Linked DNA regions of Drosophila melanogaster. The protein of the gene in region 2 purifies or fractionates together with the protein of the main gene of each other region. This does not show direct contact. Each region holds a gene or a part of one and is shown on either strand. Other genes may lie near its edges.

Evidence for each region. The genes of interacting proteins can lie anywhere in the genome.
Region 1: the proteins of net (region 2) and Rab9Db purify together in Drosophila melanogaster (affinity purification with mass spectrometry, with the first as the bait; one large-scale study listed by BioGRID). This does not show direct contact.

What each region holds. Positions count from the first base shown.
Region 1 is NC_004354.4:10,620,720-10,625,620, forward strand, and holds Rab9Db (Rab at 9Db), read right to left. Parts: upstream 2,507-4,901; 5' UTR 2,440-2,506; coding exon 1,846-2,439; 3' UTR 1,636-1,845; downstream 1-1,635. Other genes in the region: CG9806 (uncharacterized protein), read right to left, coding at 3,182-3,437, 3,492-3,988, 4,236-4,901.
Region 2 is NT_033779.5:81,245-90,253, forward strand, and holds net (net), read right to left. Parts: upstream 6,144-9,009; 5' UTR 5,849-6,143; coding exon 5,776-5,848; intron 3,034-5,775; coding exon 2,024-3,033; 3' UTR 1,177-2,023; downstream 1-1,176.

The DNA.
Region 1 (4,901 bases), on a different chromosome or scaffold from region 2:
CTGTTAGAAAAAATTCGAAAAAAAAATTCCAAAAAGTTCCAAATTTGCTGAAGTGGCAACACTTAAATTTTAACAAAGAACCAGTAGTAATTTCGGATTCAGGGTCTAAATTCTTCTATGATATATTTTTATATTATGTTACGTATATGGAAACTAATTTTAAGCACCGCATTAATTAATGTTATACATTTAACTCTTACACAACCCAGTAATTTTTCGCAGTTTGAAAGGATTCAGAAGCGAGTGGCAGGAGCAAAGCGAATTGGCGCCACCCCCAAAAATCCATGCGAAGCCCGTGAGCGCCCGTGCCACTCCCACCAGTGGTCATAAATCGAATTTTTGTTTATGTGGTGGTAAGGCTGCTGCGAAGCAGTCGTTCGGCCGCCAACCTCCCCACACTCCCCGCCCCCCCTTCATCATTGACCATGGGCCACCCATCCGCCCACAATCGCACCCCGCTGAGTCTGCAGCCAACATCCTGTCATTCCAACAGTCGCGAACGCCGACGCAACGTCGCTGCCAGCGCCAATGGTTTACGGTTTGTTGTGTTTCGGTGCCACCAGCAGCAGTAGCAGTAGCAGCAGCAGCAGCAGCGGCAGCTTCAGCAGCGCCATCAAGGGGTGGTGGGTGGTAATGGTTGGCGATGGGCGGACGGATGGATGCAGCTCCTTGTTTCCGTGCCCGTGCGGGTGGTGGTGGTTCTGTCGACTGCGACGTCGATGCCTCGGCCGGCGTCGCTGCTTTGGCGGCCAGGCGCCTGCGTCGCTCTCGAATATCCTTCGAGCGCTCTCCCCGGTTCTCTCGAGCGCTCTTCTTGCGCCTGCTCCGCTCTCAACTCGCTGCTCCCCCGCCGTCGCGCCCACGCTCCCCCGCACTCTTTTATCGCCACTACTATTCCCCCCAAAGAGGACACGCTCCGCCTGAACGTATGCAGCGATTTTTTCCGTGCTGGGTTGTTGTTATTCTTCTCGCTGGGGGTTGAAATTCCTTGTGTGCCTGTCCTCCTTCTTTGTCGTGGTGTGCGTGTGCCAACGCGTGTGTGTGTGTGCCAGTGGACAAACAAAGTGTGCGACTGTGACGTCACTTGCGTCATGAGCAGGGCTGCAGTGCAAGAATAACAAAGCCAGGGCTACACTTTGACCAAGCTATGAAGGAAGACCCCTGTTATCAACAATCGAATTTTATACAAAAGTTCTTATTAGGATTTTTAAGTACGAAATAATCACTATTTCTTCGATAGCAACAAAAAGAGATGTCCAAAAGGGGAATGTCATACCTCGTTGAATTCGTATTAAAATTCCCTATCGACCTGTATTCAAAGTTGGAAACTCTAATTTTTTGCCATTTTTCGCAAATTTAGATGATGATCGAAAATGCGAAAATTTGTTAAAAAATTTATTTTTGGGAATCATAAAAATAGTGTTAGGGATGGTTAGCTATACCTAATGGAAGTACAAAACAGTCTTTTAGCTGTGCCACCTTTTTTGGCCAAGTTATGGGGTGAAATCCCGTTGCATTATATCACATTTAGACGTCATATTTATTTTGTTCTTTTGTTAATAAACAATCAGTATTTCTTCGATGGGAATACAAATACTTGTGCAAAAGTGGAATATCATCATACATCGTTGAATTCGTAATTTTTTGTTGTAATTTATTGATGTACATTTTTCGCCAATTTCCCGTTTCACATTACAAATAGTTTATTTTTTCATTAGGCAAGAAGTTTACGGAGCTTGTAGACATTATAGAAATGTTAAAATATTATATTAATGATAATAATGTCAAATGATTGGTATTGGTGTCATTGGCCTTCTGCCGATCTGCGCCAGCTCGATTAATTGGTTAATCCAGTGACTCTTCAGCGTCCTCCTCTTCCTGCCAAGATGTCAAGCTGAACGGGTTGTAATGTACACGACGATATGTATATATGTCCATTGCCAACGAGCTAAATATGTCATATACATTCCTTCCACTCTTGGCGGAAACCTCTTCAAAGCAGATTGACTGACGATGGGCATAGTTGAACCCCTGCGCCATGCTCACCTGGCGATGGTTCGGATCATCACTTTTGTTGCCCACCAGCAGGACGGTTACCTTATCCGGACACAGGCGCCGTATCTCCTTCATCCAGCCATCGATGTTTTGGAAACTTTTGGACGACGTTATGTCGTAGACGAGCAGTATGCCATGGGCACTGCGACATTGGGTCGCCTTCAGCAATTTGAAGCGCTCGTCGTCGGAGGTGTCCCAGACTTGCAGCATCCTCCCCATCCTCCAATCGGCAAACTCCACGCTGCACTCCCTTCTATCCATGCCCACCGTGACCCGGTGTCTTTCGGTGAATTGGTTATCCGAGAAACGCATCAGCAGGCAGGTTTTGCCTACGCCGCTGTCACCCAGGATGATAATCTTAAACGGATTGTCGTATTGGCTCATCGTTAATTCGGTTTGGTTTAATATGTATAACGATTCGACTGAAGTGACAATTTTAGCTTGGCTTGTTCTGGGTTTTTGTTTTTTCTGGGACAGAATGTTTCAACACAATGTTTCAAAGTAGTCTACTTTTAAATAGGTCCATCAATTGCGATTGGAAAATTATTTTTTAATTGATATAGTAGTTACAAGTTATGGAGAAAACCCCGTATGTAAATATTCGTTTTCTGGAAATTGAATTTTTTGGTAAAAAATAATCAGTATTTTCTCAATAGCAATAAAAATATTTGTCCAAATGTGGAATGTCATACCTCATTGAATTCGTAACGAAATTCCCTATCGACCTGGATTCAAAGTTAGAAACTCAAATTTTTTGCCATTTTTCGCAAATTTAGATGATGATCGAAAATTCGAAAATTTGTTAAATTTTTTTTTTTTTGGAATCATAAAAATAGTGATAGGGATAGTTAGCTATGTTATTTGGCAGTACAAAACAGTCTTCATTTTAGCGGTGATATATTTTTTGGCCAAGTTATGAAGAAAGCCCCGCATGTAAATATCCGTTTTTTGGGAAATTTAATTTTTTGGTAAAAAATAATAAGTATTTTCTTAATAAGAATAAAAATAATCGCCCAAATGTGGAATGGGATACCTCGTTGAATTCGTAACGAAATTCCCTATCGACCAGTATTCAAAGTTGGAAATTCTAATTTTTTACAAATCGGAGTCGAAATTTGTGGTCTTTCTAGTAGATGCACTGCGGCTCTATGGACCCGGTTATATTGCAAACGGCGGCCAGCAGATTATGGTATTGTCGGTTATGCCATGATATGTTGTCTTCGCCCAGTTCCAGGATTCGACGAAAGGCTATTTCAAAGCCCGGAAGGTTCTGAAGATCGGTTCTCATAAACATTCGTAAAGCGTTTAGCTCTTCTTCCGTGGTGACCTCTTTCATAAGAACGGTAACTAGCTGTGCCAGTTCATCGGTATTGCTTCCATATCTAAAAGTGCAGAGGTGATATTATTGGACGGTTTAAGCTTTTACAAACTCGTACAATTTAATGATTGCCTTGATGTTGTCCACCAGGTATTTCTTGGCTATGTTGTAGCCCAAAGGATTCTGCGCCACGGCACTGAAGATCAGCAGGACATCATCCTTGGGCATATATCGACCGGCAAATGCCAGGTTGAGCAGCTTGTCCAGCGCCCAGTTTTCTCGACTGCAGGCCATGGCACTCAGAAGGATCCGTCGCTCTTCGCTCACATTTGACCGCGTGTAGAGTCTTCTCAGCAGCGTCCAATCAGCTTCCGTTCCAAACTGTATGGCTGTGCAATAGATGGTTTCGCTTAGATCCACCGGAATGCGATTGGTCTCCAGGGTGAGGCCAGCGAATTCCTTGAGTGCGAAGTCCGCACAGGATTCCAGATCAGTTCGGCAGGACAACTGCAGGACGATCACCATCAGTTCGGTAATGTTTGCATTTTCAGCTGCGGAGCCATCTCTCTTAAAGAGCTCATCAAACTTGGTCTGCAGTAGGTCTCTCATAAAGCCCTAAGACAAAGGATTAATGCTACATTAACAGTTGTTCCTGAGTTTAGTCTATCATGCTGAGCTTTCTAAAAACCAATTCTTTTAAAAGCTGAGCTTAAAAAAGCTGACCAAATCGTAATACCCTCGCTGTCGATGGGCTCCACCTACATCACAAATTTTAGTCACCCTGTATTCGCAAAGCTTTTTGGTGTCGAAAATGGCTTGCAATAAAGCTTCCATATCCTTTCACATACTATGAAGAACTTACCTTGAATGTAGAGATTATGGTGGTTTGCCGCAGGGTGCGATGGAGCCACTCCAGATACGTGTCCGCCGCCTGCCACACGATGAACTCGTCCTCGTTTCGCAGGTGTCCGAGAAAGTTCAGGGCCAGATCGTAGGTGACAACCCCGGCACCGGCCAGGTTGAGGACATCGCTGATCAGCTGCGCCCGTGTAAAGCGGTCAATGCTGCTGGCATTTGTGCCGGAAAGAGCATTTCCAATCAGCTGCCAGTTGCGCTCGTCATAGGTAATGCGACAGGGCGTGGCCAGTCGGAGATTGAAGACCACCCACTTGTCTGGTTGGGCCACCTCGTTAAGGATAAGCGGACTGGCGGTCTGTCTGCCCTGGCAGGTCAGCCATTCGCTGGGCAGCGTCGATACAAAGCTATCGATGCCGGCTGTTGCGAAGGTCAGTGGCACCCACCAGCATTGTTGGCGTTTCTGCATAAGCTTGCCTGGATTGCGCAGAAAGCGCTCTTGGGTTACGGTCACCTCGTTGGTATCATAGTTGCGCACCACACGAATGAGCGGATAACCCGGTTGCATTGTCCACGAGTCCATCAGCTGGCTCACTTTGATGTCCTGACGCAAGCTCATCTGGTTGTCCGATTCCTCCTGCAATGTGTGCCACAGGAATGCCTGATTGGAGGA
Region 2 (9,009 bases):
CCTCGCACCAACACCTTGTGAGGCACACGCGCAACTGGCAACTGCCCCGAAATAGACGTTGCCACACCTGTGACAGGTGCGACAATATTTGTCGTCTGCTATAACTTAAAGCTGCAACTACAATTGTTTGTGGTATTTTTAGACGACTTTAAAGTCAATATTTGCGCAACAATTTTTCAGTTTGCTTCGACTTAAATAACATCTCGTCACGACATGTGATGCACCGGTTTACTATAGTTTATATTTTTTAACTTATTTACACAAATGCTAATTTGTAACATTGCTACTAGAAGTCATTTTTATATGAGCAGATGTTCATTTTTTTAAATATTATTGGGATACCAGGAGAATGAAAATTTTAAAACACAGCATGTGGCTGGGATTGTCTTTAAATTCGATGTTAAAGCAAGAAAAATTAATATTAATTTGTACAGGGCCTTCGCACATTTCCCCAAATTCATTGAAAAATCCAGCATTTTACGGAGTAACGTTGTTGTTTTTTTCTTAACAAATTACGGATACCATAGGCCTAGCAATCTCTATTTTGTGTGTGCAATTAATGGGAAAATTTTCTTAAATTTGTTTTATTAATATTTTATTAGGAAAGTGGAGGTACTTTAATATAGATGTGTAAGTTGCAGGTCTAGTTCCCACCTGCTCTTTGTTGAATAACGCCAATGCTCAAGTCATTATATATGTACTGATCGGAAATTGCTGTTTTTAACCTGTTTTCTATAGGATTCTTAGCTGATGTAATTTGTTCTGGATATTGCACTGGGTCAACTAGATGCAGTTACTTTGTTAATAATATGCATAGTTAATAGTGTTGAGTTCTTTCAGAGTACGTCATGAGTTCTAATGCACTGTCAACTTACTGTGATATTGGTAAACTTTGTGCCTGCTAGATAAGCTGACAAATATATTTCCGAACCTGATAAGGGGACTAAGTTTTGCCAAAACTCGTTACGATAACGTGGATGCGTTCAGGTGTACTTAAATCGATAGCGTGCCGTTCTTTGCGCACCTGTTGAGTTTTTAATATCACGAAATAGCTTGTTGCAAACGATAAGATTGTTTAACGTACAGACATAAAATAACCCTTAAAGCCGTCATTTCTATATGGTTTCCTTTAGTGCGCTTGCACCCAGATGACTAATATTTTAACCGCGACCACCTGAAATCCCAACTCTATATAAAAATACATTCTCTTTATAGTAAGTTTTGTGTATTTCCTGATTCTATGGCACGTACACTTATGAATGTATACATGGGTACAAATATATCAATGTATACAAAACAATGAGATTACAATTGAAGAGGAAACGTCTACAGTTACTTACATAAACTGAAATTTGTTAAATTCTTTATTTAATTTCGTAACTACGGATTTTTAATTACTACTGATTATCTCTGTTGTATGCAATTCGTAAAAGAAGAATTGATCTTATTATAGAGGTACATGTAAAAAAATATACATTTTCATATTCAGTCCTAAGGTAACTAAAGTTGATGGTGAAATTACAACATTTTGGCAAAGCTTCTTTTAAAAACTTGTAAATTGATATAAAAATCCTGTTTGAAACAAGAAACTGAAACTTTTTTAGGTAAATATATAGTTTACATTATTGTCATTTACATAGGTTTTAAGGATGCCGATTATTGTCTTTTTATACACTCGTACATAGATGGCGTTGACTTTTTGTACTGACTAAAATGTTTCTGTAGGTAGAGATTAAATTATGATCACATCGCTAGTATTTATTCATAACAATGTCAATATCAAATACAAATTGTATGCAGGCATACTTAAAAATTTTTTTTTTAAACTCATGAAGTCTGTATATCTAACAAAGCCTTGAAAACTTTTAAAGCTATTAGGCCACTTCTGGCAAAGAATCAAAGCATGTGGATAGGAATGCTGTATGCAGATTAATCTAAGCTTAAGCACAAATATTTAAAAAAATAGCAGAAATCAGTCGCATTTAAAGTCTAAAAAAGTAAGTTATCCACGAAACTGGACAGATTACTCGTCTTTCTTTCGTTTCACTTTTCCCTCCGTTTGGATGGTTGATGTTACAGCTTCTAAGCACGTGGCAATGGACGGTACGGATTGATCGGCGCTGTAATCCTCGCCAGCCATTCTACTTAAGGTTAGTATATAGGAACACGCTACCCGAAGAACGGAGAGTTTGGAAAGTTTTTGAGTGCTGGCATAGGCTGGAACAGCTTGGCGGAGCGTTTCGTAGGCGGCGGATATGGTGTGTACACGGGTCCGTTCACGTGCGTTCGCCTCAATGCGGCGCTCCCTAGTCATATTCTTGTAATTGCGTTGATGTTGATGAGGTCGCGAAATTGGTGCCAATCCCGTCTTGTTCAGATCCTCATCGCTAAGACTAGCTTCTAAAAAGGAAGATGACGTTGATTCTTTTTGCGTCCTTTCCTTCAACGTTTTTTTGGCGGATGGCTGTTTTCCAATTAGCAATGCGGAAAAGGCCTCTATTTTAGGCCCCGCTTGGTCGACACATTGCTTTTTGGTCGTTACTAATGCGAGTGGTTCCAGCTGTTCTGGGTGGGCAGCAAGCGATCTGTGAAGAGTCGTAACTCCCGGATGGCGAACATATATATGTGCCGGATTAGGCATTATTTCATGCTGCAGGCGCAACGTGGAAGGTATGCAACTGTTGGGCGGTGGAGAGTCTATGGCTGGTGGCGTTAGGACAACTGCCGAATCGGCGGAAGATGTGTATCGTATGCGTTTCTTTAGCGGACCAGTTGCATTCATACTCGCACTGGACGGAGGACCAGGCATGGATTTAGAGTTGGGAGTCGTCAAACCTACGACTTTGAAGGGTTCCGAACTCTTGCGTTTGTTGCGGACAAGGGCTATTGGCTTGGAGTCCGCCGAGTCTGTTCCTTTTGGTCTGATGTCGGGACTGCCACTGCGCGCGTGCTCGACGACCAAGTCGTCTCCGCCTTCGCTTTCCGAACTGGCGGAACAAAAACCCGCATCACGGTCGTTGGAATTGGGTGAATCTAAAAATACCAAAAAATTTAAGAGTTAGTTATCTTCTATCTGTGACGTATTACGCCGAACCGGTTACTAATGTTTGGCATTTCGTATTCGTAAATTTAAAAAAACCCCCGTTTTCGCGGAACAGGCCAGCAAGCCGAATAGGGCTGCGACTGCCTTTGTGTGACACCCCTTCGACTTTTCAAAATTCAATAAATCCCAAATCTTTAGTTACTATTTTTTATTACCATCTGATCGAAACTAATTGGATGACGTAGTTTTGACGTATTTTCTTATCTATAATATGTTCTTCCACCCTATGAAATCTATTTAATACATTCAAATCGGAGGTTACATGAGAAGAAAGTCCATTATATAAAGTGAAATTATGCATTGATCACGAAAACAAAACAGGTTTCTTAATTTACCACTGACCTCCACAAGTATTGAAGTGCCGAAACGCAGCTTACTTGTTAAAAGTAATTTATTTCAAGTCTGGCGAATAAAGCCAGTTCAAGTTCAGCATGAAGCAGCCACTGCATCAGAAGCCAACAACCCGGTTAGCAATTTAAAAAAAAATCACAATGCATATAAACGAGCATACATACATGGATCGAATTTGTTTGCGATTTCAACTTTGGTTGTGCCAGCAAAGTATAAAGGTATAGAATCTGCTAGGATATTTATAAGTATTCCGGTATTTAAGCAAAAAAAAACTTTGTCTTCAACAGCTAATTTTTTTTGTAATCAATTATTGTGTTATCAGCCTATCCATTATATATATGTATATGTTTGTCAGCAATCATACATACAATAATTACTTGTTATTAATTTTAAATTAATTACTTAAGCTAAGTTGGCTAAGAATGAGTAAATTTATTCCCTGTTTGTTTGAACCGGTGCGGACACACATTTACGGAAGGTAAGCTTTTTGCATGTTTATTCAACTATTTATAAGCACAATATTCTGCTATCTTTTCTAATTTTAGGCAGATAAACAACGAAACGAAATTCAAAGCAACTGACTGACATTGCGGCCACGAAATCAGGCTGTACAAATAACATCAGTTTTATAGCCCTAACTCTATCCCATGTCTTGCGTGGTTTATATACCGCATTTTAATTTATATTTAGACAAATGTTTACTTTTAAGCCACCGTCCTCGCAGGCGTCGTCTAGTTTAAAACACCTGTGCCAAACGGAAACATTTTTAAAGCTTGCCAAGTTTTTAAAAAATAAATTTCTACCAATTTATATTTAAGTTGTCCGTATCAGACACTTAAAGTTACATCTAACGACCAAAGGGCAATACCTGCACATTTTATTTTATTTTTAGTATACACGGAAGAAGGTATTATTCTCGATTGTTTATATTAAGAATATTTTAAGATGTTTTTTGTACGCCCAAATTAGTTTATTTTTTATGGATCTGATCCGTCTTTAGGTGCCAAGTACAAAATAGCAAGTTTTGCTCAGAAATTGACAACGGTTTTCCCGTTATTGGCCTTTTTTTCTAAGAATGAATGCCCTCCTGCGAAAATCAGCTAAAACCTACTTAAAAACGGCAGACATTAACTGTCAGAGGCATAAGAAAATCCCATATTCACGCCAAAAGTCAACGAAAGGTTATCATCATAGGCGGCTTTTGGCTGGCGGTCGGTCCACTGGGAAGCGTTCCCTGTGTGGGAAGCCTCGTCTTATCATAACAAGTGCATATACTCATACGTACATAAATGTAAATATGTTATAGCGACTATATGAAATATATTGTAGTAAAATGACGCATCACTTTTATGAATGAATCGTAAGAACACATCCAGATCATGCAGTACTTTGACACACTTGGTAAGGACATTTTTACGTTGGTTATAAAACGAACCCAATATCATTCGGCTTTCCTGTTACTACATTGCGTTATGTAGTAAAATAATATAAGTGGAATTTTTATAAACTCATAGTGATCAATTTAAATTAAAGACACCTTATTCTATCCAAACCAATGGCCATCTAGACTAATCATTTCGAAACGTTGCTGATTAAGACTAGCATTTTAAATAAATGATCACAGAAACAAAAAATAAAATCGATTTTATGAAATGCTGACGTAAACAGTACCAACAATATGGAAGGAGTTAACGTCTGTCCTCGAACATTATAACAATCAGCAGGCGGTGGTGAAAAGGGACACACAATGCAGAGTCCAACTGTCGCTCCAGCTTCACAAACAGACAAATTGCCAATATGTCTGGCGACATCGTCGTCCCAAATTCGCCATTGCGGGCAAAGTGCTTGGCCGACATATGCAACACAAGACGAAAGTTGGAGTACGCTGGCGACACATAGTTGGCTTTATTTACGTATCTGTCTGCATCTTAATTGCCATCCTCACAAGTCTGCTGCTAATATGATTCTGCTGCAACGTGTTAGTTGGTGGGGCTTTCTGGGTGCACACGGCAGCACCCCCTATTAACAATGTTGGTCGTCAATTATCTTCAGTGTCTATTGCATAGCCTTGGGCCATAGCCTCCTTGCCTTAATGATTGTATTCGTTCTTTTTGGGTTTCGATTACAAAAATGAATATACAGCTATTTGACAAATTATTGTCGACAAATATTTTGCGGGAAATGATTATAATCATCCGACTGCAAGACATAAAAAACCTATGTATGTAGGTGTGTATATTTATGTAAGTATTTGCAGGTGCCGCACAATTCGCAGGCAACAGGTGCAGTGTCCTTTGCTCGTGCAAAAGGTAAATACCCACCTTTCATAATAATTGCTGATAATTCCGATGCGCTTAGTTGCATGTAAAGTTTTTCTGTGTTGGTATTCGCCATAGCCGCGAAGGACATTCAAGAACTTTAAAAGTAGCGCGTATCCGAAAACGGTATTTGAATAGTTTTGTGGGCTTATATTTTATTTATTCACAATTACGGGCTTTATGTTAACATAAACCTATTGAAATGTCACGTATTGTTTAAAGGCACTTTTTTAATTTGTGGTTTGGTTAAGCCGTATGTGAGCTTTGGCACTATCTTCAACTTATTAGAACTTTTTATTTTCACGATTTCTCGTAAAATCTTCTGACCGGAGCACGACTGTTCACAACGAAAGTATCTGACGGATTGAAAATATCTTGCGGATTGAAATGGCCTGCGCCAGGGACCGGCTGGCTTCATGCTAAAAGCAGCACGCGGTCGAACTGCGTTTGGTTATCAGTGTTGACCATTCAGTTTTTTTAGAGTCCGTTGTCCTAATGTGTGTATGGCTTGAAAAAAATTGCGCCCTTAGCCAGAAAATATATTTCTTCCATAAGTAAATTATATGCTTAATAAGAAATAAAGTATTTATCTTTACAAGAAATATATAAATACTTTAAAGCAAAATTTTGAACAGCTAAGTTTGCTAGGCCTCTGAACTTATTGGCACCAGAAATATTAGGCAGAAAGACCTGCCAGCACTGTGGTACGAACCGCTGGATCGGTTCGCTGTCGAACATGTTTGACTACCACATTATTAGTTTTATGAATGAAAATATTCGCTCGCTTGAGATTTGCGACTAGAAAAAATTTGTATTCAACTTATTGATTGCAAGTATTACTTTTCTGCGGCCTTACTTATGTTTCAATGACAAAATGTCTTTTGACTTTTTGTAAACTTATCGGGATGAATATACATTCAATATTTTGGACAGAAAAAGATCTTAAATGCCATTGAATTAGGTAAGATTAATTAATTTCGGCTGCTCTCCATTTTGCAAAGTTTGACTTATAAGGCTGTTAAAGCCTCTATCATAATCAGGACTTTATTAAAACAGTTTATTCTTCTTGCAACATTGCTGCTGGACACAACGCATATACCAGCGTCAATTTCATTTGTGCATACGTGATAAAATATGTATTAGTATGTATTTCATCTGCGGATGGCACTGGCGAAGAAAGTAAAAGCAACGGTCTTAATAATGTCAACATTTAATTTTAGTATTGCACAAGCTGTTCGATTTTTAGGCATAGAATGGTCAGTTTCTTAGATAGTTTACAAATATTTTATTTGATACGTATGTATTTTTTTAAACAGAACTCGTCATAATTTTGTAAGTTGGATTATCATGGCTTCTTTTATATTTATGTATGTATATATGTATATGCTTGTATTTGGAAATTTATTTAAGTCAGGATGAATACCTCCTTACGTTTTGGATAAAAAAAAGATCAGTTCTAGGAAAAAGTTTAAATTTGCTGATCATTCTTTCGAACGCCGCACAACAAAAAACTTGCCGCTGGAATGAATGCAAGAGCCAGTTCCCTAATATCATTAGGGTTCTTTTCGTCTTTTTGTCTGATATCCTTAGCAGATGTACACTGGGCACGAGTTTGAGTCTGTCGCGCGAAATGCTTTTTGAATGATGACTTTCGTTTTTTTAGAGACTTGTTCTGCTTTTAAAGTATGCGATTGGGCTGCGGCCTAACCTGTTTTCTTCGATTGGACAGACCCCAGACTTCACAATCTCCAGTGTAGCAACCTGAGCAGTCCTCCGCTACCGCCGTTTAGGTCGCGATCAAGCCTTTGTCAAGCTGGAAGTTCAAGGATAAGAATGCTGGACTTCCAAAAATGGTTCGTGTACGTGTCGGCGAAATTTGATCTGTTCCTTTAAAAGTAAACCATTTTTTCCGTACGCCCCAGCTAGAATTACTTCGGAATCATTTGCAAAGATTTTTTTTAAAATTAGGTAAAGTTGCGGTTACTGATTTGGCTTCTGTATGAGGACGGGCTCTAAGTACATGAAGTCAGTTTGGCTTCTACATATGTAGATATGTGCTTTTCACCAAAGATCAAGTCAGAAGAAGTATTTTGCGGACAACATGGTGTTGACGAACATGCACAAATCGAGTTACACTGATTTGGCTTCTGAAAAAGAACTTACCGAAATAAAAATAGCAATATATATTTAATTAAAATGGATATCGATTCGATACCTGAAAACACATATGCATTTGTACATGCGCACATACACATATAGGTATTTCTACCTGTCATTCTCGGCATGGAGCTACAAGAGCAGGATAATGGAACGTCTCAATCACTAATTGCTTTTAGTCTGCGTGGACTAATATCTGGTCCTTGCCAATAGTTTGAACAAACGCCTGGGATATTGGAAATTTCTTGAAAAACTAGCGAAGTCAGGTAGTGGTGACTTCTGAGAATATTCATGCTCAATGCCTACCTTCTGCGGAACATAATGTAATATTTGTTGCGTATTTCAGCTTTTGAGAAGCTCATCGAAATCAAATAACCTTTTATCTATTAGCCATTTAGCATAATTAGAAGGCTTTGTTACTCGATCAAAATCATTATCAAAAATTAGTTGAAAGTGATATCGTCTCAATTCAAATTCCTTTCATATAGTAAACATAACGTTGCCGTAATAAGCACATGTCCCTCCATGTGACGTCACGTTCCTTCTTGTTACGTTTAGTAGTGGAACCAACCGGCCTTGGCACGTGGTTATGGAAATTGCGTAACTCACTTCTACCGATACACTCGTTACTCAATGACCCAAGTTAGTGAGCTTAATAATAATTCAACAAGGAGAACGCTATAGCCGATTTCCTTCCCTCTATCAGATATCTCAGAAACTAAGATAGGGAAAGTGCGAGGGGCACATATGTATGTATATTTTTCTAAATGGTCGGGGTGCAATTTTTTGCAGTTGACGTGAACAGACAGAAGGACATGGCCGGAAGGACATGGTCTCAGATAGAGAATCGGATCAAATATCAATTAAATAATAGATCTAAAAATATTCTGAAAAGCGTTTGGTGAAAGGATTTCCAACAGTAGCCTACTTAAATAAAATAAAAACAAATATTTACGAAAATATGTTCAGATCCGAATTTGTAACACATGGAATTCTCTGCTTGCTGTAAGTGCCAGCACATGTGTTTTCTTTGAGAAGAGGCGTTTTTATTTTCTGGGCCTTTTGACCTTTGCCGGCGTC